Danio rerio: one gene and its partner. The protein of the gene in region 1 interacts with the protein of each later gene in a biochemical or structural test. Links are inferred from orthologs where the notes say so. Each region holds a gene or a part of one and is shown in the gene's direction. Other genes may lie near its edges.

What was found. The genes of interacting proteins can lie anywhere in the genome.
Region 2: the proteins of dlg3 (region 1) and net1 interact in a test that uses a peptide from one of them, tested with the Homo sapiens proteins (2 studies listed by IntAct, with this or other methods). The link is inferred for Danio rerio from reciprocal best matches to the Homo sapiens genes DLG3 and NET1.

The regions. Positions count from the first base shown.
Region 1 is NC_133189.1:37,620,353-37,623,822, reverse strand, and holds part of dlg3 (disks large homolog 3), read left to right. Parts: intron 1-677; coding exon 678-719; intron 720-1,616; coding exon 1,617-1,667; intron 1,668-1,769; exon of another isoform or gene 1,770-2,462; coding exon 2,463-2,564; exon of another isoform or gene 2,565-2,645; coding exon 2,646-2,818; exon of another isoform or gene 2,819-2,953; coding exon 2,954-3,063; exon of another isoform or gene 3,064-3,150; intron 3,151-3,268; exon of another isoform or gene 3,269-3,357; intron 3,358-3,470. UniProt on the Homo sapiens protein: Required for learning most likely through its role in synaptic plasticity following NMDA receptor signaling.
Region 2 is NC_133179.1:12,171,206-12,174,963, reverse strand, and holds the start of net1 (neuroepithelial cell-transforming gene 1 protein), read left to right. Parts: upstream 1-1,143; 5' UTR 1,144-1,280; coding exon 1,281-1,402; intron 1,403-3,758. UniProt on the Homo sapiens protein: Acts as a guanine nucleotide exchange factor (GEF) for RhoA GTPase. May be involved in activation of the SAPK/JNK pathway Stimulates genotoxic stress-induced RHOB activity in breast cancer cells leading to their cell death.

The DNA.
Region 1 (3,470 bases):
TTACTTCCAAAGTCGAAAAAAAACTAATACTATGGAAGTCAATTGTTTCTAGATTTCTTCAAAACATCCTCTCTTGTGTTCAAAAGAAGAATGAAAGTCAAGTGAAGGGCGAGTAAATGGTGACAGCATTTTCACCTTTGGGTGAACTATCCCTTCAATAAAAGAGAAAGTGGGTGGCAGAAGTCTTCACAGCCAGCTGGTACTGGGCAGGATTGAGTGTGTTTAATGTTTGAAGTATCCCAGCACTATCATGTTGTCAGTGTATCTAAGAGATGTTGGTTATTTGATTCCTGTAAGGAACCCAACACTGGCTTGTTTACTTTGGCATGAGGAGCGGTATCACTGTCTGATGAACCCAACACTGGCAAGGTCATAGGAAACGCTCAGCACAGAATCTAAGATCAGTGAGACCGTAGGAAAAGGAAATACTTAATTTGCTATTGCTGCCTCATCCTACCATTTCCTTTCTGAGGAAACGGCAGCCATTTACGGGCCCAAAAGTTCTTTTCTGTTTATTTTCCCCCCTTCTTGACTAAGCCTTTTCTATTCTTGGCATGATGGTACGGGAGGGTGTATAGTTTTGACCTGAGCTGGGATTGATATACCGTTAAACTTAGAAATGAAAGTGTGCATTGTGGCATTTCTAAACCTCCTCCTCCTCCTCCTTTCATTCACAGAGTGCTTGACGTCCAACACCAGTGACAGTGAAAGCAGCTCCAGTAAGTGGCTCTAAATGTGCATTAGCTTAAGCTTTTCATTATGTACTAAGTTAAGTCTGTCCCAGTGTCAGTGTTGCCAGATTGGGTGGTTTTGAATCTGATTGTGCCAGTAAAAAATGTCATTGGTGGATTGACAATATTTGGGCAGTTTTGAAACGTAAATTTTATATGCAACTTTTTAAACAAAACATAACTGTGTGCTCCTACATGACTAGTGCGTAGCAAGAGGAAGTGAAGAAAAGTTGTATCAAAACTTGACTCCATGGACAAATCTGACTCCCCTTCATGTGCACGCGCATCACGCAGAGCCTGGTTTATTGTCACACTTTCATTGATAATTTTTTCCAAGCAGCACCTAATTATGTTCAAAAGAATTTAAACGCCAAATGTGACTAATTTATACCCCATTTTGAAAGTAAAACATACTCTAATAGGGAGTGTAATCTACACGTCAAGTGCAGTGTGTAGTTGAGGATGTGTTTCAATTTGATCTGGTTATATTGTGGTTCTGCGAGTGCTGGTGTTGGTTGCTTTATGGTTAAAAAGTATGACAGTTACAGTAACTTAATTAATTTAGATTTAAATAAATTAAAATTAAATAATTAACCTTATATTTTGGATTTTTGTTTTGCGTTTGGGCTGGAAAAAGTCAGCTACAGTATATCTGGCAACACTGCCCAGTGTAATCCGCTGAGGTGCGGCATTCCATTTGATCATTTTCATGCCATTAACTTTAAGTGCTTGAACAAAAAAATAAAAACAATGATTCATGGATCTTGTCATGTGACCTGCACGTTCATTCCAGTGATAATTCAAGTGGATTGTTTTTGTATTAAATGGTGAAGAATGAAACCTTCCTGTTTCAAATGGATACTTCTGTCATTTCTCCTCATGCAGAGGGTCAGGAAGACACAATTCTCTCATATGAGCCAGTAATTCGACAGGAGAGTGAGTATACATATGCCTTTTTCACTTTAGCTGTTTTTTTTTTTTTTTTAAGTTTGAATCAAAATATTGGATTGGCAGCTCGATAAAAAAGACTCAATTATTAATATTGGATATTAATGTGCATTTTATTCAAGCAAAAATGGTCATTTCATGTTTTTAGTTGAGCAGTCTCACTCTGACCCTTAATCCTAGTTAACACTCCCCACAATGCAACACGCGTCAAATTCCAGCAGTTGTTTGATGTATTAGTCACTGTGTACATGTGCTGTTCTGATCTTGTTTTTGCGTGGCTGAGCTACTGTATACATCACTGAAGTGAGATAAAAAATGTTTCTTGCCATTTTAAAAAGGTCATCTGTTTCAGAAGAATTGGAATCATTAGTGTGACTGTTTGAACTGAACTTTACAATTAAACGGGCTGCTTTTACTGCTGTATGTTTAAGATTTCTTTAAATGACTTGACCACTACATGATGGCTTTATTTATTAAGGTTAAGTGTAGGTCAAGTTAGCCGTCTTGCATTGCATTTGCGCAAGATGTTGAATAAGCAGTAGGTCATAGTTGATATGCAAATATAGACGTCTCTGTTAACTAACAGTTTGTGAATAGTCTGTGTTTGCACTTTAGTTTTCATAAAAGCTCTGGTTGAACTGGCTAGATAGCTTTATGTACTTGGTACACGCTACACAGAAAGAAATTCAAATCCTGTTTTCCATGTCCTCCATAATGAGAGCCAAAGAAATAATTCTCAAGGCTGGACGTTTTTGACCAACATTGATTTGGCTTTCTTTTCAGTCCATTACACAAGGCCTGTGATTATCTTGGGTCCGATGAAGGACAGAGTAAACGATGACTTGATCTCAGAATTTCCCCACAAGTTTGGATCCTGCGTTCCACGTGAGTATAATATAAAACAAAGCAAGTTAATCTTTCAGTGTTTTGGCAATACTTGTGAAATTAAAGATCATAATTCTTTAGATACAACTCGTCCTCGGCGAGAGAATGAGATGGACGGCCAGGACTACCACTTTGTGGGTTCAAGAGAGCAAATGGAGAAGGACATTCAGGACAACAAATTTATCGAGGCCGGCCAGTTCAACGAGAATCTGTACGGGACCAGCATCCTGTCTGTTCGGGCAGTGGCTGAAAGGGTCAGTGACTCCCTAGTGTAAACATGCCAGGGGATCCGCACTCCTGTTTAATCCTTCAATATTTTCCCTGTGGCAATTACTGTGAGCAGTGTAAGTGTGACACAGGATGAAAGGGTTTCTTTAATCCTGTTGTAGGGCAAACACTGTATCCTGGACGTGTCTGGGAACGCCATAAAGCGACTGCAGCAAGCACAGCTCTATCCAATCGCCATTTTCATCAAGCCAAAATCTGTTGAGGCCCTAATGTAAGTTGAAGATTTTGATTTCTACAACCATTAGGAGACTACCGATGACATGTCTTCCAGTAACTTTTTCTAAATAAACAAAATGCTCTGTTACTAGGGCTGCACAATATATCGTTTCAGCATCGATATCGCAATGCGTGGAGCTACAGAATTGTATTTAACTACAGTATTTATATGGAATTTATTGGATAAAAACATTTCTTACTTGGAATGTTTGTCTTGTTTCTAGTCCAGATATCTACATTTCAAAGCCAAAACAAGATTATTTCACTCACCCCACTGACGGATCATTCCCTTAAAACAAGCAAAAACACAATAAAAACTTCATTTACTCTTATTTCTTCTGATGGTGAAAACTAAACAGCATTTTAACATGATTTTTTTAAATGTATTTATACTAGAGACAA
Region 2 (3,758 bases), on another chromosome or scaffold:
ACTATTAATAATTTACTAAATAATACACTGATAAATTTATTTTCTGTTCGGGATGAGTTGGCATTAAAAGAGGAAGGGGAAAAAAAGCAAAAACAAACAATAAAGCGTTTACTGGTTTTACTGACTCACAAAAAGTGTATTCGCTGTGAACAGTCAGGCTTTTCTTTGTGGCCAACATTGCTCAAAGTGATTTTTAATGAGTAACCATAAGCCTCATTAATCTGAAATAAGCAAAACCAACGTTCTTAGCACTAATGAGGATATTGTAAGGGGTAACTCTTCATCCAATTCAACTGTCATCCTATTGAGAATAGATCCAGAAGCCAAAATGTTTCTGTTATTTGAAAAATGTCCATTGCAAACATCTACATGTTATCAGTACTATTCAGTTTATCTTGAAATGCAGTCGAGTAAAGAAAAAGGCTAAATGCTTCAGTGCATTGTCGCTATATGTTTACCAATATTAGTAATATTGAACTTTTTTTTTTTTTTTTTTTTTTACATTATATTATATTTTCTAATAACATACAAAAACACTAAGGGGTTTCTAAAACAAAAGTTGAAAATACATCAAATAAAAATCATTTAACCATTAAGAGATTAGTTTGTTTCAAGTTCCTACCTAAAGTCAAGTCTAAATATGTTTTGATGTTGATGAAGTGTGTTACTCTTACAATGCCTTTATCTACTCTTGATTAGAGACAACAACAACAAGTATATAATTCTAACATGAGATCCAAAATAATATATAAAAAAATTGAGTTAACAGTTTACATTTCAGATATAAAACAAAAGACTAGTTCGTTTTAGAATAGATGTCTCCATAACTTCAGTACATCAGGCATTATAAATTATGTAGACATCAAGATCATTCTTCAATTAATTTGAATTGTTTGGCTATTATAATTGTATATTGACATTTCTTACTATTAATACACTAAAGCGAGTCCACATATAAACTGTAAAAACCCTTAAAAAACAGGTTTAGAATTAATTTTTCCACATTTATGAATATGAGATTTACCAAACAGATCCTTTATGTAGGCTACAAGGCAGAGCAGAAGCAGAGGTGTTTCGTCACCTTAAATCCCTCCCCCATTACTCTTAACCGCTCCTGATTGGTCATGATTTTAGATTTCCGCCATATTCAAAATCCGTCCTATCCATTGAATAGCTAGCTTCCCCTTTCTATTCATCCCCCCTAAAATAACCCGTTTTTAACTGTATTACGTATTATACAAACAGTTTACAGTAACGCAATCCAAGTCCACGTCTTTCAAATGGAAGAAACCGACGGATCTCCAGCGCCAATGGCAGAGCCAGTCAACGAAAGACCGAAGAGGAGCAAGAGAAAGTCGTCAATGGTGGAGGCGGACGGGTCCCCAGAGCGCACTTTCAAACGGTCAGGAAGATAATATCAGACGCATTGTTATTGTTGTTATACATCATTATTATTACTACGTTACAGCTTGCACTATTATAGTCTGCGAATTCCTTTGCAGATTATCCCATATTCTGCAAATGTGCAAACTGCAGCGAATCGGGAAATGAGGAAGTGTAACGTTATTAACTCATTTATAACATTTAAACGACATCTTACGACAAATAACCATGTTTCTTATATAGTAAAAGTGTAATAATAGCAGAAATGTATTGCTTACAAATATTGTAATCACGTTTTTAAATAAAAAAAACTATGGAAGGTGTGGGGAAAACTACAATTTAACGATGATTAATTTGTGGTTAAATTACTAACACGTTTCTTAGCCTTTATTTGTGGTAAACCCGTGGTTAATATTCCTCAATGGCTATATATGTAGATCATATAACTTCTCTAAGGAGTTATGGACTGGCGAGTACAGATCTCTGTTTGTTTTGCTCTCAAAGTGAGAAAAACTTCCGCAATACGTCGTCACATTAAAACAAAGCATGACGGCAGGAGGGCAACCTTGTATGGCTGCAATGTTTTACCAAACCACACGATGGCGCTGACGTCTCACAAAATAACAATGGAGTTCAAGGCAAGCCACACCATAAACATACACTCAGCAGCCTCTTTATTAGATACACCAGGAATGGACAACTTCGGTCCTGGAGGGCCTTTGTCCAGCAGGGTTTTGCTCCAACACTAATCAAACACAGCTGAACATGCTAATCAGTAATCAGAAACACATGCTTATTTGAATTACTTGTATTCTCTGTTATCTGGCAACCCTGAGATGGCGTAATGTAATGAAAATCCCAGCCTTTTTGCCACCCAAAAACATGCCAAGTCACTTAAATATAAATTTTTACCTATTCTGATGCTTGGTTTGAACTTCAGCAGATCATGTTCTTGACCAGTGTTCATCAAACACTCCCTCATCAAACACACCTGATTCAGATCAGACTCATTAGCAGAGACTGAAAGACCTGTAATGGGTGTGACAGACAAAGGAGACATCCAAAACATGCAGTGTTGGTGGTCCTCCAGGAACGTGATTAAAAAACGTTGTTCTTGAACATGTTTACCTGCCAAAATGCATTCAGATTGGCTGTTTGCATTTGTTTGTGCAACAGATGTACCTAATAAAGTGTCCAGCGAGTGTACACAATAGACATTGTCTTGTGTAATGCAGCTGAATTTCTAACAAACGGACAAACAATATTACATAAGTGCTTTGAGACAGTGCTGTATTTAGAAAGGACCTACTTGAAAGTGAAGCAAAACAAACCAAGTGATACATAACCGTAATGCATCTGTGAATGCTTTCAAAAAACATGTGATCTTCAAAAGTGCTTTTATTTTTGAGGAAATGTTAGTGACGTTCAAATCCATGTGCAACTTCACCGATATTATTAAAAAAAGAAGTTGAGGACATCAGATTATACTCCATATAAATAGATCATGCCTGAAATATATCTCTCATAACCCTGAGAAAGAATGCAGGCAGATGGAGAACATTAAAATGTGCCTTTATCATTGGCTAAAATAACAACAGTTTATTTTGGCAGAAGATTCTGTTTTCTTTCTGTCATGCCAGGCCTTATGCCTTCTGCCTGATTGGAACCCATTTTGCCAACTACAGTTATCAGAAAAGCAAACAAAATGGCACGGAAGTTTAATTCTCTGGAAAATCTAAGTACAAATTGCGACTATGATGCTCTAAATTGTTGCTGTGTAGTCGCCAGGGTGGTTGTTTGGCTATCGCAATGCCAATGTCAGAAGAGCGTCCTGCTACATATTAGATTCGGGTCTGCTGTTATGGCTTTCAGTAACTATAACTGCTTAAACAAATTCCTTTCCAAGTGCCACACATCAAAGCTCCAGCGCCACAATAAAGTTACTATGTAAATAGACAAAGTGGTCTCTTAAAGAATGTTCTGCAGGAAGTGTTTTAAAACAGTGCTACATTGTATTTAGCATCTACATCAAGGGAATAGTTGATAAAAGGCTGAGAAAAGTTAAAGACAATAGCTTAATTTACAAAGATGCAAATTAAATGAATGTGCAACACTGGAATATCACATTTAAAAACTTTGCTGATTAACTCTGGCGTCAAATATCAAAAGTAAAAACATAATTTGGTGCGGTACACTGCAAAAAATGCTTTTCTTACTTAGATTTTTTCACTTGTTTCTAGTCCAAATATCTAAAAATTCCTAAATCAAGAAGAGTTTTCTAGACAAGCAAAACATATTGTCTTGTTTTGAGAAATAATTTCCTTAAAACAAGCAAAATAATCTGCCAATGGGGTAAGCAAAATAATCTTCTGTCA